Drosophila melanogaster: one gene and its partners. The protein of the gene in region 2 interacts with the protein of the main gene of each other region in a pairwise test. Each region holds a gene or a part of one and is shown on either strand. Other genes may lie near its edges.

Evidence for each region.
Region 1: the proteins of yuri (region 2) and CG14684 interact in a two-hybrid assay, tested with the Drosophila melanogaster proteins (one large-scale study listed by BioGRID).
Region 3: the proteins of yuri (region 2) and IP3K2 interact in a two-hybrid assay, tested with the Drosophila melanogaster proteins (one large-scale study listed by BioGRID).

What each region holds. Positions count from the first base shown.
Region 1 is NT_033777.3:10,704,211-10,709,661, forward strand, and holds CG14684 (uncharacterized protein), read left to right. Parts: upstream 1-2,763; 5' UTR 2,764-2,792; coding exon 2,793-3,173; 3' UTR 3,174-3,250; downstream 3,251-5,451. Other genes in the region: CG31391 (uncharacterized protein), read right to left, coding at 1-779; CG31467 (uncharacterized protein), read right to left, coding at 1,082-2,524; CG31278 (uncharacterized protein), read right to left, coding at 3,265-3,576, 3,648-4,052; CG31373 (uncharacterized protein), read right to left, coding at 4,377-4,688, 4,846-5,124.
Region 2 is NT_033779.5:15,257,883-15,268,517, reverse strand, and holds the start of yuri (yuri gagarin), read left to right. Parts: upstream 1-4,290; 5' UTR 4,291-4,391; coding exon 4,392-4,748; intron 4,749-4,853; coding exon 4,854-5,186; coding exon of another isoform or gene 5,187-5,279; exon of another isoform or gene 5,280-5,351; intron 5,352-5,389; coding exon 5,390-5,548; intron 5,549-5,715; exon of another isoform or gene 5,716-5,891; coding exon 5,892-6,143; intron 6,144-6,213; coding exon 6,214-6,448; intron 6,449-6,505; coding exon 6,506-6,606; intron 6,607-6,677; coding exon 6,678-6,800; intron 6,801-6,880; coding exon of another isoform or gene 6,881-7,057; exon of another isoform or gene 7,058-7,309; intron 7,310-8,774; exon of another isoform or gene 8,775-9,164; coding exon of another isoform or gene 9,165-9,167; intron 9,168-9,226; coding exon of another isoform or gene 9,227-9,499; intron 9,500-9,579; coding exon 9,580-9,736; intron 9,737-9,808; coding exon 9,809-10,014; intron 10,015-10,076; coding exon 10,077-10,345; intron 10,346-10,412; coding exon 10,413-10,635. Other genes in the region: Cul3 (cullin 3), read left to right, coding at 1-522, 585-755, 818-988, 1,051-1,165, 1,231-1,373, 1,499-1,722, 1,784-1,922, 1,992-2,144.
Region 3 is NC_004354.4:13,302,568-13,310,215, reverse strand, and holds the start of IP3K2 (inositol 1,4,5-triphosphate kinase 2), read right to left. Parts: upstream 4,702-7,648; 5' UTR 4,337-4,701; coding exon 3,269-4,336; exon of another isoform or gene 2,212-3,268; intron 1-2,211.

The sequences.
Region 1 (5,451 bases), on a different chromosome or scaffold from region 2:
TTTCGGCCGTAAAGAAGACTTCGCTCCGCCTCCGTGAACTCAAGGTACTCAGGGCGGACGGAAACAAAGTGCTCCGACCGGAAAAGCCGATTCATCTCCATTTCGATGACGAAATACGCTCGGCGATGCATGCATATCCAGACTATTTGGATGGATACTGCCAGAAAATGCTCATGGAAGTACTTATCGTGGATAGTTGCTGAAATGTTGGAAATCGGCTTCATGTGGTAGTACTTGGCCATAGATCCCTCGCCCTTGATAATCTCACAGTAGTTTCGGGCTAATAGCATGCGGAAGTGGCTCAGGTAAACGGAATAGGTTTTCTTCATCTCAGTGGTCTGCTCGCTCTGAATTTGGGCCATCTGGCCAGAGAGTTCATCTCTGCGAATCAGGACGAACTCCACCAGGCGTAGGTAGTACTCAAAGTACAATGTTAAGGCGTGGAGCACGGACTGCACCTGTGGCTCATGCATGAATTCAATGAACTTGTAGGTTAGAAAGTCTTTAGGCATCAAGTAGAGCACCAGATCTCGAATATCTCTTAGCACCACTGTGTCACTGGTGTTGGACTTGGCGCGTACATACTCCTGCCGGAAGATAAGCTCCTCCTCTTGGTCGATGGTACGCAGGAACTTGTACCCATTGGTGATTATATAGCGCTCTCTTGCGTTTTCCAGATCGTTGTGCGCCTGAAAGTTGAGGCAGTCCTTCTCCGAGTCCCATGACCACTTGCCGCTGTAGTACTTTGGAGCGTAGTTATCGACATGGACTCTTTTCATCGTAGTCGCGCAGATAAACCAAGATCGGGTTGTGTTTAGTGTTTTTAAAGTGTATTTAAATTGATGTGTACGTGACGAAGTTTAGTGGAATTATGCTCATGTTTAAAGGCCTAAAGTGAAGTTTTATTCCCAAGCTCCCACCTACGAAACCCATACCCTTGATCGGATGCCAATGTCTTTCGTCTTCGTGCATTTATTATAAAATAGCAATCCATAAGTGTCAGTGCTTTAAAGCTCCGATTTTCTGTATATATAATAATATGCAAAAATTGCAATTAACGTATAAAATTAGGTAGTTTTTTTTACCGCTTTGCCTTGCCTACACTAAATCGCGATGCAATACTACTACGCGTAGATGATGCATGCTCCGGATCTCTATCCTCCTTGCGTATTTTGGACATGATCTTAAAATAGTTGGAGATGATCTGATCGACCCTTTGTCCTGAAGATGTGCTTGCCAACTCCTTTTCACAACGCGAGACTACGTTCGTGAGTAGACCTCCGGACCGAAAGAAGGCTATGTTGATGTCTCGTTTGACCCACTTGCAGATCTGATGGTGTGTGACCCGCTCATGAACCTTACAGAGCTTGTAGAAATGTTCATATTTCTCTTTCATTGTACGCATCTGAAGCTCACCTATCTTGGGTATTTGCAGGTGAGGTCTCCTGATTATATGGTACGGATCGAACTTTTCCGAGAAGTTTGAGAAGCGGACAGCCGGCCAGTCGAGACTAAGAAGCGTGTTGTAGAGGCTCTTGGGATGGCCCATGATGCCGTGCGATACATCTATAAAGCTGAGCTGCGAACCGGGCACAATGTACTCCAGCTCAATCTCGGCAATGCGGATATCGTTTCCTCTGTACTTGCGTTCGCCTATCCACAAAATGGGCAAATCCTCTTCAGGAACCAGCTTTAGCTCCTGGACTAGAGGCGATTCCTGAATTCGATAATTGTAGTTCTTTTTGTTTCTGCCGTAGAGAAGACTGCGCTCCGCCTCCGTGAACTCGAGGTATTCTGGGTGGGCGGAAACAAAGTGCTCGGAGCGGAAAAGGCGATTGATCTCCATTTCGATTACGTAATACGCCCGGCGATGCATACAGATCCAGACTATTTGGATGGCCACTGCCAGAAAATGCTCATGGAAAAACTTATCGTGGATTGTTGCTGAAATGTTGGAAATCGGCTTCATGTGGTAGTACTTGGACATATTATCCTCGCCCCCGATGATGCGGCAGTAGTTTCGTGCAACAAGCATACGATACTGGCTTAAGTATACCGAAAAGGTTCGTTTCATATCGTTGGTCTGCTCGCTCTGCACCTGACCCAGGGGACCGGAAAGCTCATCCCGACGTATAAGTATAAACTCGACCAGTCGCAAATAGTGCTCAAAGTATATAATCAGGGAGTGAAGCAACAAGTGCGTATCCCGCTCGTACATGAACTCAACGAACTTGTAGGTTAGAAATTCTGAAGGCATAAGGTAGAGAACCAAGTTTCTAATATCTCCGACCACCACAACGTCACTATAGTTGCTTTTCGGTAGCACATACTCCTGTCGGAAGATGAGCTCCTCCTCCTGGTCTATTGTGCGCAGGAACCTGTAGCCATTGGTCATAATATAGCGCTCTCTTGCGTTTTCCAGATCGTTGTGCGCCTGAAAGTGGAGGCAGTCTTTCTCCGAGTCCCATGACCACTTGCCGCTATAGTACTTTGGGGCGTAGTTATCCACATGAATGCGCTTCATTGCGTTTGGCAGTAAATAATGGTATAAATTTATAAAATCGTATTTTAGTCAAAAGCAGTGAAAAATCAGTGTCGTTACATTGAGAGTTAAATATTTATGTTCCTCAAAAAGACTGAAATTTAGATGCTGCAGCGACTCCGATTATTTAAAAGACCAAATACAATAATTTCCAAGGGCGTGATTTTTCTGTCAATCTGTATTCTCAGAATTTGTATTTTCCGGTACCACGCTGATTTAGGTGACCGGTGTTTCCCGGACTGTGCTAAGCATGTTCCGCCGCACTAATGCCGATCCGGTCATACGGCAATTTATTCTGCGCACTGCAGTCCTCAATTATCTTGGCAAGAGTCTGCGAGAGCAGTATAATGAATATTGCCTTTTGAGAACCCAGCACGAAAATATTAGGCTGAAGACTGCGAGTGATCAAGAGCTTGAGGACCTGCCGACTCTTTCCGAGCTATTTGAGATGCAACAGTTGAAGACGGCTGCCACCCATCGTCTGCTGATGCGGGAGTACCAAGAATTGCTTGCCTACATGATGGACAAGAGTGATTTGTGGGACAGTCAGGAGTACTTCAAGGCCAAGTCTGCGCTTGGGGCGGCCATCCACAATCTACGGGTTTGTGCACCCACCAAACCAATGGACTAAAACCAGTCGAGAGGAACATTTGCCAGATAGAATTCCATTCAATCAGTATATATACATACATAAATAGTGAAACGATCCACGAGCGACTTAACTACTTGTAGAAGGGTATCTCCACGCGTCCGGATTTCGTGTTAACCGCCTCCCAGCAGGTGCACGCAAAGGTTGAGCGGTCCATGTGATCGGTGTATAGTTTTCCCTCCAGGTGATCCATTTCGTGCTGCGCTATCCGGGCATTCCAACCACTCAGAGCCAGTTCGCTTTGGTTTCCTAGTTGGTCAAGGCCTGTTAGCTTTACACCTTCGAAACGCTCCACTTCGGCAGAGTAACCTCGCACACTCATGCATCCTTCTGGATGCTTCAGCTTCGCGTAGTTGGTCACCGTCAGGACGGGATTGATGAAAATCTGTAAGAAGCAAACCATTGTATTATAGGGTTTGGGCTTCCGAACACAGCTAGTTAGGACCCCAGTCTCACAGTCAGTGGCAACTCGGACATTTGTCGGGCTTGGTAAACGGCCTCGGGCAGCTCCTTTCGGATCCGTCCCTTGAACTCCATTGCTATGATCCTGAGCGATACTCCAATCTGAGGAGCCGCAATGCCGACGCAGTCGAACTTCCTTAGCACCTTGACCATCCGCTCGACGATGGCCTTAATCTCGGGGCTAGCCATGTGCTCCTTGGGCACCAAAGCCGCTTGTTGCCTAAGAACAGGGTCACCAATCTGGGTGAAATGGTTGTATGGCGGCAAGTTTGTGCGCTCCGTGGTCCACAGGTGCTGGTACCACTTCCTGAACGACTGATTAGCGGGAGGACTCGTTCCAAAGGATCGACAATGTCCCAGAATCGCTTGGCATACTTTTATCCGTGGTTTCAGGTGCATTTTGTGAAATGTTTAGCCTCCTTTAATATTCCGATCAAAATCGTAGGGAATATAGTTACACAACACGGTCATACTGGCCAGCTGACCGGCTAGGGATGTGAAAGTATGTACCTATCGATATATCGGTGGAAATAGATTTGATATTTGGCGCGCTTTTAAATATATGCTAGGTGCATAAAATACTTTTTCCCCGCACACAAAGTTTATTTCGTAAACAGCGCATTCATTTCAGAAGTGTATTTTATTTTCAAACAATATACAAATATGTTGTATAAAGCGCCATAAAAAAGTGAAAAGCTCCTTGAATTAAATGCAACCAAGTTATTACTTGTGAAACCAAATGGCGGATCGACCTTCAGCTGCGTTGATTTGCTCCCAGAGGATGCAGTTGAAGGTGGAGAGATCCATCCTATCCATGTAGATAGTTCCATTAAGGTGATCCACCTCGTGCTGGGCGATCCGTGCGTTCCAGCCCTCCAGTTCCATTTCCGACGGAGTGCCCAGCTTGCCGATCCCCCGGATCCGGACCTTATCGTACCGTTCCACCTCAGCGGAATAGCCTCGCACACTCATGCAACCTTCGGGATGCTTGTTTACTTGGCTGCTGATTATCTCCAGCTCCGGATTAATGAAGACCTGCAAGCAAATGATTTATGATGAGAAATCACGGGATTGTTGCTGCACATAAGCAATATTTTTGTATGCAGAAATTTAGTTTCTCAAATTCATACGTTTATAAAACTGCATAGATTTACATATATTTTTCGAACGCGAAAAGAAAAGCTTTACTTACGGCCAAGGGCAGTATGGACATCTTACGCTCCTCGTAGATTTCCGGCTTGAATTGCTCTTGCTTTCCCTCTCGGAATTCCATAACGATAATACGCAGCGGTATTCCAACTTGGGGCGCAGCCACGCCCACGCAATCGTAGTGACGTAACACCTTTACCATGCCGTCAATAATCTGGTTGATCTCCCTACTATCGATGTCCTCGGGCGGCACCTCTTCTGCCCTTTGGCGCAGAACAGGATCCCCAATTTGGGTAAAATGACGATATGGCGGAGCGGACATGATTCTGGTCGGAAGAAGATCTCTACTGAACCGTGTCTATCGAGCAACTACTGCACAGAGCTGTCGAGGTGGACAGATTTTGATACGATAGCCTTATCTGGGGATCAGCTGATCTGCCATTTGAAACACTGGGAACGATAAGTCTACGGTTCGCATTTTAAAGCGGAAATATATACCTTAAAAATCCAATACAATTTTTTAAAAATACTAGTAATATCCTACAATATTAGTAACAACAATATTGCCAAGCTTTCAAGATTTATAAGTATTTTATTCACGAATAAATAATTTTGAAGTATTTGAAGTCTCTTGAAAACCTAATGGATG
Region 2 (10,635 bases):
GGCGTTTACATCAAGAAAGTGGAAGCGCGCATCACGGAGGAATCTTCCCGGGCAGCGCTGTATCTCGATAAGGATACGGAGCCCCGCATTGTGCGCGTGGTCGAAGAAGAGCTGATCAAAAAGCACATGCGACCCATTGTTGAAATGGAGAACTCGGGCGTGGTGTACATGATCAAGAACTCAAAGACCGAGGATCTGGCCTGCACATATAAGCTTTTCTCGCGCCTGAAGGAGGAGGGTCTCAAGGTGATAGCGGACACAATGTCGGCATATCTGCGAGAGCAAGGACGCATGCTGGTTAAGGAAGAAGAAAACGGCAACACGAATCCCATAACATTCGTGCAGAACTTGCTGGATCTCAAGGACCGCTTCGACCAGTTTCTGGTGCACTCGTTCGCCAACGATCGCATATTCAAAAACGTCATCTCATCCGATTTTGAACATTTCTTGAACCTAAATAACAAATCCCCGGAGTATCTATCGCTATTCATCGATGACAAACTGAAAAAGGGTGGCAAGGGAGTGAGTTGAATTTACAATATGCTTTCTGAAATGTATTAATAATGTGTATTACTTTTCCACAGATGAGCGAACAGGAAATTGAGTCCATCTTGGATAAGACAATGGTTCTCTTCCGTTTCCTATTGGAGAAAGATGTCTTTGAGCGCTATTACAAGACGCATTTAGCCAAGAGATTGCTGCTGAACAAATCAGTCTCTGATGATTTCGAGAAGAATATGATATCAAAACTAAAGGTAGGTCAAGTTACTTGGTATCTTAGCATAATTATTTATCGCTTTAATCTCTATTATTGCAGACTGAATGCGGCTGTCAATTCACCTCGAAGCTAGAGGGCATGTTTAAAGATATGTCAGTCTCCAATACGATCATGGATGAGTTTAAGAACTTTGTAAATAATAACAATTTATCCCTTGGCGGTGTGGAGCTAACGGTACGCATACTAACCACTGGTTTTTGGCCCACACAGGTAAGCTTAAATTGTTCCATAATTATGTGAATAGGTTAACTTATCTTCAATTTCCGTAACAGACAGCAACTCCGAACTGCAATATACCCGCCGCTCCGCGTGAAGCCTTTGACATTTTCAAGAACTTCTATCTAAATAAGCACTCAGGACGTCAATTGACGTTACAGCCACAAATGGGTTAGCTACTTAAATGATCTTCTTTTTTAAGCAACTACTGTATTTATGCCTTCCCCTTCGAATAGGAACCGCCTATATCAACGCTGTGTTTTATGGCCGCAAGGCAGTTGAAAGTGAAAAGGATAAAGATGCACCCAGCTCCAGTTCAAGCGGCTGTGGGGTGCCCACCACCACACGCAAGCACATATTGCAAGTGTCCACGTACCAGGTAAGCTAAAATATCTTTTAGTTCGTACACCTCCGAATTTTATTTAGCAGAAGCAGCTTTATTTCATTGATCTGAAAAAAATATTTAACTAAACATTTAACATGTATTTCATAATCCAAAATTAGATGTGTGTGCTACTGCTGTTTAATAACCGCGACGTGCTCACCTACGATGACATACACCAGGAGACCGATATACCGGAACGGGAGCTCGTCCGAGCACTACAATCGTTGTCCATGGGCAAACCCGCTCAGCGTTTGTTAGTACGCAATTCTAAAACGAAAACTAAGGACATTGAGCCCACGGATGAGTTTTACGTAAACGACGCCTTCAACTCCAAGTTCCACAGGTTAGATATTACTTTCAGTGCGAAAGAACGGCGCCTGGTAATAATATCGAAACTATTTTAGGGTGAAGATACAAACGGTAGCCGCCAAGGGAGAATCAGAGCCAGAGCGTAAGGAAACGCGCGGAAAGGTCGACGAGGATCGTAAGCACGAGATCGAAGCGGCTATTGTGCGCATAATGAAGGCCCGCAAGCGTCTGGCTGTAAGTATTATACGTTTGCTATCTGGTTGGATTGTGATTTAACCATGATTCCTGTTTTTATTTTCTTAGCACAACTTGCTAGTATCAGATGTGACGTCGCAGCTAAAGTCGCGTTTCTTGCCCTCGCCCGTGTTTATCAAAAAGCGCATTGAGGGCCTAATCGAGCGCGAGTATCTGCAACGATCGCCGGAAGATCGCAAAGTGTACAACTACTTGGCCTAAGCGGCCCACAAAAAGTAGCAGGAGCGTCTTAAGCAGGATCCGGAACACACTCATCTTCAAATCGCCAGGGCTTGCACACTAACTGAAAAACACAATCTGCAGCTCGGACGGAATGGCCTGAGCATACGAGCGGCATTGATATGGCGGATACTGACCACGATTATAGATGACCGCCAGCCAATAACCCGAATACATAAATATATCAATTAGTGCGCCCCGAATCGTAAAATTTCGTTTCGCAACCCATTTTGTAAGCCTGACATTCAAAATTCAACAGTTAAAAATGCTATTGGATAAGGCACCACCATAATTATTATCCCTCTAATATATTTCTTGATATTCTCTAATTACTGTTTATGGTCATTTCTTTGCGCATAACAAGTGTATAGCAGTAAGCCCAAACAACCACATACACACCTGCTCCACCACCACCCCATTCAGAGCCACAACCACACACACCACATCCACCCACAAGAATCGTACGCAAAGCAAGATAAGAGAAATAATGCATAATGCAGCCCCTAATTGTAAGCAGCTGAGTAAAAAGGTAAAGAAGCAACAACAGAAATATAAGCAAGAAAATATTAATAACTATAAATATAGCTAAAGTAATAAATTTATAAATGAATTATGAATTTTAGAGAGCGTTTGATGTACATTTATACGTCGTCTGTTTCAATCCAAATAAAAACATTCATCCCACGTTTTGAGATGCGTGTGAACAGAACGTAAGGATTGCAATGACTATTCATATTCCTCTATCTTCATTTTTTGTGTACGCCCAAAGCAACGTGAAGTGATTATGATAATCTGTACGAAAAAGTTGTTTTATCTATTAGTTGATATGTGGGAATCGATTCCAGGCATATGTAGGCAACACTTCTGTAATGGATTTGAGTTAAGTAGGACACACATAGAATTGATTTTGAAAAACAATTTAACGCCGAACCGAAAGCACGAAAACGGAAGCAAGCAAACGCGATCTAAACACTGTAAATAAATTTTGTTCTTACATAAAAGAGAAATCGATATAAATAAAACGTATAATGAGCGTTAACACAGTTGTTGTCTATCTTTTAAAAGGATTTTAAAATATTTTCAATGAAATGCTTTTATTCGCCTGTACAATAAAACGAACTTGGTAACAATTTAAATCTGCAAAAAATCTACTGTTTTCAATTGGTGCCCAACATATTGTGCTAATCGTGTAAAATTTGGGATGGGCAATAAGACTTAAGGATTGGCATAATCATTCTCTGAATCATTCGAAATTTTTTAGTTCTTAATCTTTAAAATTCATGGTTTTTGCAGCTTTTTTCCAGCTATTGTGTAACCGCGTTGAACGACCATATCGGAGTTATCAATGCGACCAAACAAACTTATCCATGGGCAAATATACACCGGATGAGTTAACAATTATACGAAATTGGCAGAACCCCGAAACCGCAACTTGGGCAAACAGCGATGACTTTCGCATATTGTGTAAGATACATACATACATATGTATATCGTGAGCCCGGCCAGAAATTCAGAATGCTAAGTTCTTGGGTAAACACACGCAGCGATCCAATTCGATTCCCCGACGCACTGATAAGCGCTGAGAGTCCGTCGAGTTTTTCAACTCTCTAGAGAGCCGCTCTTGGCCGGTGGTGGTGGGGAGCGAGTGTGTGGAGCGGAGCGCTCAGTTCGGTTTCGTTGGCGATCGCGAACGGAGCGCAGACGAAACGCGCGGTATTTGGATCGTGGCAAGAAATAAAAACAACAACATGCTGAAACCGTATACTTAATACGCGTGTGTGTAGCTCAAAAACAAGAAAAATATAAATAAACAAAACTACATTGCTACGTCAGAAGACTGCAAACAAAAGATATGAACGCAGCGCGCTGAGCTGCTCTTGACGTCGCCGCCAAGGTTCGAATCAGATATATTTTCTCTATTTTTTATTTTTTTTTCCGCCCATTTTTGTGTTGTTTTTAATAAGCTTACAACTTTACAAGTGTTTTTTGTTGTGATTTTTGTACTTTCGTGAGTGATTTGTGATTTGCGATTTGCGTGCAGTTGAAGGCGAGGAGAACTGCATTCGATCTTTCCGATCAGCAGTGCCTTGAGATTGCCGCTTTCGAAGTGAACGTTTCGATGTAGAAACCTTAAAGTCATACTCATGTCTAATTACACAAGCTATTCCCTGGCCGACTAAATCAGCTCTTAGTAAGAAGAACGTGGTAATTACATTTTGAATTGATATCATGGCCAGTCGCCAAGCCGGTTTCGTCCTAGACGCCAAGTCCATGGGTCTGAATCCGTCGAGACCTGCATCATCGCCACCGCCACCACCATCATCTGCCAGTCAAATGTGTCGGCAAGTGCAGCCAACCGGAACGAGTGCCTCGCATCCACATCAAGAATCGACGCTAAAAGCCTCATCTCCTGATCGGTGCACTGCCAGCACCGAGGCGATGTCCACCGAACATTACCGCTGTCTGATCCAGAAGCTGCGGGATACCAACGGCGATGCTGGCGATATGAGCTTTGAGCTGAACAGCATATTTCTGAAGCGGCTGGACGAGATTGACTGCCTAGATGAGCACGAGGGTGATGACATGGTGAGATTCGTTGTAAATCAAGGATGGTATCCATTGAAACTAATTCCTAGCAAAATCCCCCTTGAGATAAATTATTTTATATGACCCATTTTCATACCCTTTTAGCACACTTGCCAGTTGCGTCTGGTCACTTTTCAGGAGTGGGTGGATTTCCTGCTCCACGTGAACAGCGTGATCCTGGGCAACGTGTCGGACTTGGAGAAGGAGGCGTACAGCAAGATCGTTGCCTGCTGTCAGTCTGTCCAAGTGCGACAACAGCATACCCTCGAGGAGAATCGTAGGCTGCGTGAGGACATTTGTGCGATCATAGAACGCGTGCAGCATTCTCCTCACTGCACCGACTTTGATTTCAATGGCATTTCCCTAGAGACACTGACCGTTAATCAATTGCGGGGCGTGGGAAAGGATCCCGCCCACGCGGAATGCGAGAGCGAGAAGGTAGGCCATAGATCCTTGAAGGGAAAAGGCGGCGGTGATTCCAATGTCAAGTGGGACCCGAAGTCGTCCCACAAGCGCGAGAACTCTAAATGATTGTCTCGCTAACTAAATACGTATATTTTGTGCTGCTCTTAATAAAATTTGATATTTTGTTCATCGATATTTAATGCTTGGCTTTGATTGGCGTTTAACTTTGTTCGCAGATGTCCGAGAGCATGAAGTCCTTAGTCGGCGAGATAGCCGCCAAGCATGACGAGATCGGCGAACTGAAGTCACAGATCAATGCCTTGGACGAGGTTGTACACACGGCCAGGCAGAAGTTACTTTTGAAGGATCAGTGCATAGCACAGCTCAATCAACAGGTGAGATATCCTATTGTGGCATTACTCAACCAGAAATCTGCATATGTGCATTGTGTGCTTATGGAAGGAATTTATTCAATTCGTTGTTTTAAAAACAAAAAACAAAAACATCATCGTCGTCAGGTGACGTTACTCATTATTGAGCTCAGTTTAATTATAGATTCATTGGAATACTTTTCTTATCGCTTAATCGGCTGCTTAAGCGTACAATCGAAAACCTAATCGAGTATCTTTTTAGTGAAATACCGAATTTCTTGGTAAAATTTTCAGTGTATTCAATCAAAAAGCACATCGAAACTTTCTAACTAGCTTTTTTTTAACATTCCAAATACCGTGAAAACAGCTGCACGAGATCACCCGGTGCATTGAGTCCAGAGATCAGGCCAAAATGGAGGAATCGCCCAACGATACACTGACCGCGGACGCGATTACAAGCGATATGCTCGAGAATCTCTCGATCCACGACACCCAGGAGAGCGAAATGCTGCGGCTGCTAAACGCGGAGCTCAATGATCTTCTCGATCTGCACAACAAACAGGAGTTCCAGACCATTGAGATTCGGCGAAAACGTGTGTCCTGCTTTATCGAAAAACTGGTGAGGGATTCGACTTACATATTTCTGAGCTTTAGCATATCCTCATTAATTACACCCTTCTTAATCAAAGGTATCCGAGCGTGAGGACACTCTGAAAAAACTCGAGAGCATTCGTAGTCATCTGACAATCCTTCAGTCAGACCTCGATCAATCCTGCCTAATCTCCGTTGATCCCGAATCAGGGCCCTGTGATCTGGACGCGGATGCTCAGATGCTGGAAGCTCTACGTAGACGCCTGCTCAACCTTAGCCAACTTAATCGAGAACTGCACGGAAAGTACCAGCGCCTGGACACCGAGTCGAAAAGTGGGTATATCCGATTCTCGATACTTTTGCTATAACTATTTCCCTATTTGCAAAAAGTCAAAATTTCAGAGCTGGAGGCGAGGATTGAATCGGAAAGCAGCGTTCTTCAAAGAAATAGCGATGTTCTAAGGGAGATCGCCGAACTCATCTGCTCGTTGGTGAGTTAAGACTCTTCTCTATTCTGCAGGATTGCAGGAAATGCATATTAAAAATATGTGCATCATTTCAGGGTTCCAAGGAGTTCTCCTACAACGAAATCTACGACGAATCCTCGAAAGAAAATCCATTTTGTACGACCATTGCGGATATGTTTGCACGGAAATTCGAGCAGGAGCAAAATCAAGTGGAAATTGTGAGTATCTGACGGCTTTGATTGCATCGCAAATAACCAATAGCCGATTCCAATAACCCCGGTTGTCATATCAAATGCAGGAATGCGATACGAAAACACCTTCCCAAACAAGGAAGCCAACCAAAACCACCAAAATCCCGGGAGCCACGGCAAAAACAAACAAACAACAACCAACACCTAAACCTTCAAACAAGCCAACGACAACTAAAACTATACCAACGAAAAACACAACTACAACGTTTAGGACCTCCAAGTAACTATGTCACTTGTTGGGCCTCCTAAACAGTTAGTCTAATCTAAGCCACGTTAAGAAGTTTGTATAGTTTAGCTTAAAGTTTGTCGTTCTTAAGTTATTTATCATCGCGATTGTTCGCCACGAAAACTCAACTCCACTCAAATCTATATCTATCTATATATGGTTAAACAGAAACTAGAATCACAGATTGCTGAAATGAATAGTTTTAATGAAATGAACTAGTTTTAAATAAAGTTTCTTTCATATCCCAACCAAATTATGAGCTTGAAATACATTTCCGATTTACGTTTCAGCACATAGAACTTTCTTCTTATGTGGTAAACGACATTCGCCTTCACATATATACTCGGTACAGTATATACTCGGTAAATCCTGGCTGGATTGACAAAAGAACTACTGTTGCCATTCGAGTCCCCGATTTATTTACCCATATATATATATATATGAATATATATATATTGGGCCCAGACACAAAAGAAAGAGATCCACTTCACTCATCCCGCCGGGCAAATGTCTACATACGACAAATACAAATCGTTCGCCAATGTGTTTATTGTGGAAACTCGGCTGTATGTTCAACTGCAATTGCCCCTGAGGGGGGAGCACCTTCTGCCCTCCAGCCAGTGGAGCTGGCGAATCGGAAATAGGTTTCGTGTTATTTATTTACCCACAATCGACACGCGATTCCGGCGAGCAGTGATATGCATATTGATGAGTGCCGCCGGGATTGGGACTTCACTGACTAGGACTGCTCGTGATCCGCGTGACTGCAAGGACCACGACCATTTACATCGATCTCGATCGTATGCACTAAGTAATTCATAATACCGAACCAACTTAAATTGAGCTCAGTGCAAATACAAATATTTAGTAATTACCTAAATAAATGTTTATTTAGATATGACTAATTCCCGAGGTGTGAACAATAAACAAAGTCGTCACCCCTCACGCCATCATCTCTTTGGCGAAACTGTCGGGCGCAAAATCAAACACAACTCGGCAGGAAGCCCCAGCAGGGGAGCAGTTCGCTTCAGAATCCTGTCATCCGTCGGCGGATTTGGCCGTTTAGTCGCGTGAAGCGAATCAAGGAAGCGCCAGGAATAACGCGCCAAATCCTCGCCAGCCAATTTACGAGGCGTAATTAGTCGCCTAAGTCGCGCTCCGTCGATTTGATTATCTTTTCGGCGCGAAAAACGAAAGGAAAATCGGGCAATTAGAAAGGAGAAAGTTGGCCAAAAGTGCAAATTGTTTTCGAGTGCTTTCGCAAAGAGGGACGCGAAGTGCAGTGAAGAAAGTTGGTGCTGCGAACCGTAAATGTGCAAATGGAGCCGATGGAAAAGCGAATTGTTGGGCTCCGCTAATGGGTTTAATGACAGACAAGGAATCATAAGAATTCATTGCCCCCGTCCCAATCGATTTTCACATTTCCCCGAGCCTGAGCTATCAATTTCGTAGTACTAACCCCCCGCCCCACCCACTGCAATATAATATGCCTTTAAAAGTGTTTTAAGTGCGCCGAGCCACGCTCGCCCAACTCCCCTCCACTCATCATTCATAAATATCCATATATCTATCGTATCCAAGAAATAGACAGACGATATAATACTATTCGCTGCCACCCGCTGCAACTAACTTTATTTTCAAATCGTGTCAAACAGTCGGGCCGCGCAAATAATAATATCTATAAAACTAGGGGAAGTCACCCCCCCCCCCCCCACTCAACCATCCTTCACCCCCCACCCCTTCAAGCACCCAACAAACTTGTGTGTTGCCAAAGTGCCAAAGAAGCGAAACTTTGAAACCGGAAACCCGAAACCTTGCCACCTCCTACGTTTCGAATTGGTTTTATTTTCGTGACAAACTTTTAATAGCAATATTATTGAAATGAAATGAAACGGTAATGAAGCCAAAATTCGTCTGGGGGTCATATTTGCGAGATATATTTGCAAGCTCGGCGGCACGAAGGCTCCATTTCTAGGCATTCGACACCGAAAACGATTTAAACACATAGATATGTACATCCGCGTATCTGCAATCGACAATTGACAACTGACAGGTGATTTCGTGCGCGGATTTGCAGGCAATTAGTTACCGATTTCCGAGTGGCCATGGTAAGCCTCGAGAATAGCGGTACCAACCAAGTGAGCCACAACTCAATTTGAATTTGTAGAACACAGGCAACAGCTCCACCGATTGCCCCCACCGCCAGCAGTTGGAGCACACGCTGCTCCACTGCCAGACCGAGTCGGATCTACTGCAGGCCACCCGGGATAATTACCTCAGCATCATCGATGAGTTCAAAAGGGATCTCGAGGAGCTGACCGAACAGGTGGAGCAGCAGCAGCAGCAGCTGCAGCAGAGCTCACTAGCCAGCCAATCCTGCCCAGAGCCCGAGCTCCATTTCGTCGATCAGTCACGGATCAACTGTGAACTGGAGATACAAGTTGGATCCACTAAAGCACACATTTACCAAATTGCTCCTAATCGTTTCTCTGATTTCTCGCCCACTTTTTTCCCCACCAGAACGGACAACTTTCCTGCCAAATCAAGGGACTGCAGGAAAATCTAAAGGATCGAGATAACCAGATTAGCCAGCTGCAGTCCATGATCAATAGCTACTCCGATTTCAGCGAGAACAATCGGCTCAAAGAAGAGATGCATGTCCTCAAACAGAAGAATTGTGAGAGAAAACTTATAATTTTCAATTAAAAGCTCTTTCTATATATATATATATATATATGTATACTATCAGGTGATCTATCCCGCCAACTGCGAGACCTCCCTTCCCTGCTGAAAAACCAAGAAAATCAAAGCGTGGAACTCTGCACGAAGTACGAAAGCCTGATGGCCAGCTTCGAGGATCAGTGCCAGGAGCTCAAGGACGCCAAGAGGAAAGCGCAGAGCCTGCAAACGCGACTGGATCAGGTGGAGCAGCTGCAGGATGAGCTGAGAACAGAGGTGGCGTATCCGACTATTGTCGTCCTTGGGCACAAAGAAAACTGAGGTATTATGAATTTCAGCGCAAAATCTTGCGAGAGGAGGTGGTCGCTTTGAAGGAGAAGGAGGCTGTGTCCTCGGGCCGAGAGCGGGCACTTCAAGATCAACAAAAGAGTGCCCAGTTGGAGATGGAAAAGATGCGCACTCTTGTTCGGAAAATGCAGAGCCATCTGCAGCTGGATGACATCCGGCATCGCGAAAGTATCCAGCGGATGAACGAGACAACTGAATCTCTGCGGGAGGAGTTGCGCACCATTTCGGAAAATTGCCAGCAAATGCAGATCCGCCTAAAGTAGGTAATTTTCCAGGATAGAGTGCATCCATATAAGAGCAGCTGCCATGTTCTCTCTTCCCGCCAGTCAACAGACCGAAGTTAACCAGCAGCAGGAACAGATTATCGACTCCTTTCGAAAATGGAAGGACGCCCAGGTTAGGGCCGATGAGGCGATGCGTCTTTGCGCCAAGCGGGCCGAGGAACACATCCACATGCTGCTGGACGAAAACCGGACGTTGGCCGAGGACTATCGCAATCTATTCCGAGACTACAAGCTCTTGGAGACGGAGATAAAACGAGTGAAGCAG
Region 3 (7,648 bases), on a different chromosome or scaffold from region 2:
ATGTGTGGAAATCTTTTTTTCTAAACCATTTAGAGGAAATCACAGTAAGGCCCTCTATTCAGAATATTAAATTAATTTAATAAATATATTATATCATGTAGAATTTACAGAAAATGTATATACTCTATAGGAATTTTCTTGCACATCCTATATGCAGTCTGTATCTGCGTCACATTTCCTGTTTATTATGATATAATTTGTATCAATATTTTGCGGTTCATAAAGAAGATACTCCTCCATCCATTAAAAGATTCGCTCGCTGACTTTGCACTTTAGAGCTGCGATATTATTAATGATCATGTCTCGGAATGGCGGAGAAAGAAGAAGGGCATCGGATTTGGAGTGGGTATGGTGTTGGGGTTTTAAAAACAAAGGCGGCCCAGTGACGTCACAGCGACGTCAGCGGACCAAATGGCGATATTGTCGCTGACTTTGGCACCCACACAGATGCTTTATCTTTAAGTAAGCAAATAGCATTTCTATGAAGCCCACGCCATCAGTCTTCACAATAGCAAAACAATACGAAAAAAAAACGAAGCCTCGGACATTCAGTTCAGTCCTCAAAGCTCCTAAGTTTCCAACTCGATGAAATGAGCCAGAGAAAACCCATCCCGAACCGTAAATGGAATGCGATGAATAACCAAACAAGCCACATCCAAACTATAATGACAACTGTGATAAGGCACGGTGACAGGCTTGGGTTGGTCTCTTCTGGGTGGGATGAGTAGGATACCAGGAAATGTGGCTCCCAGGAATGCCAATCCAAACAGTGAAGATATCGGGCGTAGCTAACAAACGCCCAGCATCATGTGTGTCTGATGATACATATATGTGTGTATGTACATTATAGTATATATCCATTTCTGATAATGCGCCGACTTCTACGACTCGAAATATGAATGAAACTTTTGAGGTCGTTTCGTGGAATTAGATAGGAATACCTGATATATGACCTGTTCATTGGAATTTCATAGGCATCAAGTAGTTGGACTGGGCAAAATAACTGGAAAATAATAACAATTTCATAAACTAAATGCTAGAACTAGATGGTTTTTCCACTTAAAATTAAGTTGGTCCGCCGTTTAGCAAGGTCACATCACTGCGTATGTGCTTTATTAAGCATATTCACGAGGGAATCTAAGGCAAATCAAAGGCAATTCCCATAAAAAAAAAAAAAAACAAAAAAAAAAAACAGGCAAAGACGGAAGTTGAATAAGAATCGTATTCAAATGGGGAAGGAACTTGTAATGACATGCTAATCAAATTGAAGTGTATCTTTACAGAGCACTGGAGGCTGAATAAAAAGTGTATGCAAATGTGGCGATAAAACTGAAATTACAATGTACCATTAACTGGGTCAAAAATTCCAGACATTTTTTTTTATAGACTAAAAACTTGACTTAATATTGAGATAGTTTGAAAAGTATTTCAAGAAAAATACAAGCAAGTCGTCATTTAGTGTGCAATATTATCATTATGCTTGCAGAAATGTCTCCATCTCTGTGAGATACTTTCTTATCAACAGTGTTTTTTGTGCTTATAAACACAATCCCCGGGACTTATAGAGTAATCCCCCAACGACACGAGGGCTCGTGTGTCATATAGACATATATGCGAATCCTAATGGGAACGATGACGTATGCGTGATATCACCCAAAATCGCTTATCACTCATCCCACCGCAAAGAAAAAAAAATAATAATAAAAAAAAAAATAAAAGAAAAAAACAACAACCCGTAAGACAGAGCTTTATACAATTGTGTTAGACTGGCGGATGGGATCATCATAGATATAACCACACTATACAGTAGATAGTATATCGTATTAAGCATATATAAGCCGCATGCCCGTGGCTTAAAAAAAAGTAGAAGAACAACAGGCCATTTCTGGGATGCCTCCAATTATTGCTTTTGTCGGCGGTGAGGGTATATATATACATATATACCATATATTGCTATATGAATGCCAGGCAGATAAACCCGCTTGATAAGCGCGTAACATTATTAACCAAACACACATTGGCACACATACATATACGATCAGACAACATACATATCCATATCTCTTGCATATACACATATGTACATGTATGTATGTATGAGATATCCAGGTGAATTGCTTTATTATCGTTATCATGACTCCGAAAATTCGGTTTCTAATACTTTTATTTGCTTTACAAACTTTTCGCCGTCTGCTGACAACAGCAACAGCAACAAAAGGAATAATAAACCACAAAAAAAAAAAGATGCCATTATATAAACGTAAATATGTGCTGGCTTATATATGTACATAATATTTATCTATAATACAGTATACAGTTAACTAAGATAAGCTCTTTTCCTCGCTATCGCTGCCGTTGTTTTGTTTTGCAGTTCTAGATACGAAAAAAAAAACGAATTAAACCAACGGATCCGAGGTTTTCGTATTTTCGTAGATATATACTTGTTTTTTTTTTTTATCAAGGAACCCCCTATTTTTCAACATCACCACCATCATATCGTTCTCATTCACTCAAAAAAAAAAAAAAAAAAAAAAAAAAAACGATAATTATTATAGCGAACGAAAAGCGAAGAATACAAAAAGACTTCTCCGAGTAACAGAACCTCATTTTAGTGATAAGATAAAATTCTAATTAATTAATAGCCTTTTAAGCAAACGCATACACTGAAAGAAAAGACCTGCATATGCAAGGTGGAAAAACCATTAGCTGATAAGGCGCGGGATTACCGTTCTTGAGCCTATATATCATCTCATCATCTTTAAAACAAGATGAAACTTAGTGGTAATTCGCATTATCAAGTCAGTAGTTCAAGGGATTTTCTTTGTTTTTTTTTTTCTTTTTATATTTAATAGATATGCGTATTGTAAAAGTCTTATTATTATAGTCTTTTTCTATAGTTATAATGGTCTTGCAGTTGATAAACTAAACGGTATAATACTGCTCTAGAGCAAAATAGATTGTTTTTTTTTTTTTTTAATTATGCCACATTTCATCTACGCGTAGCACCCGTTTCTCCCTGTGTATATGCACCAACTTGCTTATCTCTTTCGCTGCCATTCAGACCTGCCCTCATTCACTGCTCTTTTATGCTTTCGATAACAACAACACAAACAATCATTAATGATATTTAAAAACGAAAAAAAAAAAATAGTGTTTAATATTAAATTTACTAGGCTGCTCCACTTTGTTACTTGTCCGTTTTGCCAACCCGAATTCTTTAGTCTAGTTTGAGATTTCCCTGGTTTGTGACGTCATCGCGGGCGCCTACCTTCTTGGATCGATCCCGCTGACGATCACCAAGCTGCGTGGCGGCCATTAGTTCGCTGATCTGCCGCTCCCTCTCACGTTCGCGATCCCCCCGCTCGTAATCCTCCTGAAGCATCTCCTCCGCATCGCGATCATCCTCATCGCGATCCTGCTCATCGCGATCCTCGTCGTCATCCTCCTCCTCCTCCTCCTCGTCGCTGAGACTGCTGCTCTGGGTGCTGCTCTTCCTGGCGAGCGCAACTCGAACTCCATTCACGATGCACTCGCCACCATCGAGGGCAGAAATGGTGGATCCACAATAGTAGAGATTGCTGCAACTGCTTGCTGCACTGACATCCGATTGGCCATCGTCCTTGCCACATCCCGGCGACATTCCCGCCGCTCCCGATCCACCGTGTCCATGTGCGCCATGTCCACCGCTATGACTGTGATGTCCCGCCTCCAGGGAACAACGCCGCTGACCACGCGCCCGCTGCAGACGAAAGTATTCCATTTCCTCCATGCTAATGCCGCAGGCGGTTATGTCATCCGAATAGTCGCTAACCACGACGGATGGTGTGCGCACATAGCGCACGCCCAGCGGCAGTCCACTGACGCCCAGTTCGCTGTACGAGCTCTGGGTGGATTCACGTCGCGATCCCGGTGCGGCTACCACTCGCTCCTCGAGCAGCACCTTGGTGGGCACACCCACGCTCGGATTGCCACCGCCGGTGGGCGATGTCAGTGGCGAATCTGGCAGGGCTGTGGGTTCGGCCAGTGGCAGTAGGGCCGGTCGCAGGGGTAAATCCGTTACGGTCAGTGTCATCCGACGTTGTGGCGGCAACGGCACATCCATGCCGCCATCGTCCACGTCCAGACCCAGGGCGGAATCACTACTGGCACAGCGTGTGACCTTCATTTTGCGCTGCCTCGGCGATAGGCTGTTATCCTCGTTGTCGCTGCTATAGGGACTCAGTCCGCCGCCGGTGACATTACAGCCCTCATCCGAATTGGATGCAGTGGCTCCGGGCAGTGTCTTGGGCTCGCCCTCGTTGCTCAGCTGCTGCTGCTGCTGCTGCTGGACAATCATGGCCTGGAACTGATCGATTAGCTGTTGCACCGGCTTGCCTCGTTCCGTCTTGCAGCTGGGATAAGCACTGCGGTAGTTGGTGGTGCGAGTGATTCTAGTGGTGCTGCTTGTCTCGCTATCGCGGGCTAATCCACCCACTTGATTGCCGAAAAATTGCGCTTTCAACTGCGCCTTGCGTAGGGCCAACTCGGAGATGGATGCCACCTCACATGGATAACCAATGTCACTTCGCTGATTGGATGTGGCCGCAATTGGGTTTGCTCTAGCTCTGACTGTAGCTGCTACTTTGGTTCTGGCTCTGGCTCGGGCACTAGCTCCAATCTGCTCCGCTGTCCGCTGATAACTGAACGCCGTTGCCTCTGCCGTCGTCCATTTATTTTCAATTTTAACCGTTCTCCGCGTTGTCGTCGTTGTTGTTTTTCCAATTGTTGTTGCTTTTGCTGTCGTTTTCGTTTTCGCCCTCGCTGCCGACGCTTTCGACGTCGACGTCGACGTCGTTATCTTTGGCATGACATCGAATTGGAAAGCGGGGGCGTCAGACGTTCGCGAAACCGTTCCCGTACCGCCGTCGCACGCACTCATCTCACATGGATGGATTGGCTGGATCGCGGGTAGAGGTGGGGTGGGTAAAGGTATGTATACACCAGGTTAGCAAAGAGTTGGGACTAATGAAGTAAGTGTGAGATTCGTTAGAACAGCAAAAATGAAATAGGAATATGCAAGAAAGTGTAATGGGATTGGTGATAAGAAAGATGTTGTAAGCAGAAGAAGTTGAAAAAAGTGCAGAAAATGGAAAATGGAAATTCGTACTATTTTCTGTATACTAATTTACTAAGGCTTATATAAAGAATTCAATGGTAAGAGATGGTAAAAAAATAGCTAGAATGGTAAATGTTAGAAGCGAGTGAAAAGTGAAAGGCTGGCGGATAGAACGATAGTAGAAAGCATAAAAACAGTGAAGATTTCCGTTAAGAATGAGTGTGTGAAGATAGTTAAAAGGGAGGATGGGAATAATAAGAAAAAGGATAGTAGAAAGAGAAACTAGTGAAGAGTAGTGGATGATGGTTGGGTAGTGATTGGGAGTGACTGATAAGGAAAGACTCAAAAGTGAAATGGTGCTTATGGTGTTGGAAAACGATCTGTGTGTTCCGTCGAAACGCGCTACTAACGCTGGCGTCGAGGCAAAATCGAGTGGAACTATAGGTGAAAATGCCACTGGAATTCCCGGCAAACATTCTACGTCCGCACTTTCCGAATGGCACCTGTGCGCTGCCGTCGCCGAACTGAAATCGCTTTCTGCGGCTCTGCAGCTCTGCCCGTTTTTTCCAGCGGGCCGGCGGGAGGGGCGAAAAGAATCGAGAAGAGCAGCGTGGGGGGCGGGGGGAGGGGAGTCTCGTGGGGCGAGAATGGGCGAGGGGAGGAGGCTCGAAGAATTGTATAGAAGAATCGTTGAGCCGCGGAGTGGAGTGGCGCATCAACGGAGAGCAGCTGTTGTGGGGGCGGGCGGCCGTTCTGCCGTTCTTATTTACTTGTATTGTTGATAGTTTTCTTCGACAAATTTGCTGTGCCTTACTTAATTTTCGGTTGCTTTTGCCACTGTTCGGTTCTCTCGCAATTGAGATGGATTTTTTGGTGCTACTGCAACTGCCACTGCGTCGGGGTAATTGTAATTGTGATCTTGAAACGTTGACGCAATGTGCAATGATCCCGCACGTACGCACGCACACAACGGTAGCTGCTCCAATTGCCGCGCGTAATTGTAAATTGCATTTGAGCACAGAGCACTGAGCGGGCACAGATACGTCGCACACACACACACACGCGCGAACACACAGAGAGGCGCACGCACACCAGCACACACAGTGACAGACTGACAGGCGATGCGAGCCCAATGCAATAAAGCACTCTGCGAGCACCACTACAAGCGCACAGTCACGCACAATGGGACGAATCGGTGATTTATCGCCAAAAAAAAAAAATGAATTAAAAAAAACCCAGCTGACTAAGAACTTTTCCCGGAAAGCAACTAAAGCACTAACTAGTTTTTCAAGATCAGATTTATGAAGCTTACCGAAACAAAAGGTATAATTAAATTTTGCAGTACAAGCACTTATTAAAAACTAAATTGTATGGTTTAAAACTGGCAGCAGTCTTTAGTAAACAATTACAAGCTGTAAAATTCCCGTTGAAATATGAACAAAATTAAATAGCTCTGCCCATGTTCGTATCGTGTTCATGTTTCTGCTTATAAATAAGTTCCCATCTTGCTTTTTATAGTTAACTATCAGACCAAATGACGCAAATAACATTTTATCGCTTTACACCAACTTTTTGCAAAACACAAAACCAAACGAAATCGACCCCAGATTAAATTCTTCGAAATTAAAACCGAGAACAGTCCGCTATACACAAAAAAAAAATATAAAAAACCAAAAACCATTTACGTACATGACTTACGAAAGACGAAATATGTCAGTACATTTGTATAGCTCAACCGCAAACCAACGACCTACGTCAAAACTGATTGTAGTTGCAGAAATTCCGTAGCAAATTGCAAAATTTTTTTTATGAGTTGCAATAATTACTATACCTATATATACATACGTACGTTATACAAGTAGGTGACAAAACCGTAAGTCGCATCCGCATTCAAATTGTTCTTCGTAATTCTCCACAAGTTAAAAAAAAAAAAAAAACGAAAAAAAAGGATAGCCCAATTTCCCATCAACAGGTTCATTGACTATATACATATATACGTCGCTCATTATCTGGACGAATTTTTTTGGTATGCTCGGAATCTTTATGATAAGCACGTGATTCACTCGAAATGCCCACCCACTCCACGGTGCCATGACGATGATAATGGTGATGATGATGATGATGATGATACGATGGCCGTATAATGCTTATAACGATGATGATGGGTGATGGGTGACCCACGGAGCGGCATCGCACTTTGTCCAAAACGCCAGCGGCTATATGACGTCAGTAGTCGACGAACAACGCAGACGCAACAGCCCAGACAGAGACGGCGAGATGGCAGAGAGGGTGGGAGAGAGGGGGCCAGATTACCGCGTAGACAAGGGCGCGGTGATTACTCAACGCCCCGCCGCACCCCCAACGATTCCCGCCGCCCTCCGCCCACCATTTGCGGTATAAATAACAAGGGGGCAATTAAAAATGCATTTTTTTTATTGTTTTATGTGATTTTTTGTCGTTGGTTTGTTTTTTTGTTTTTTTTTTGTTCTGGCTCTGTGCGCGTTGTTGTGGCTTGGCCTTTTTCATGGGTTTAATTTTTTTTATATATTTTAT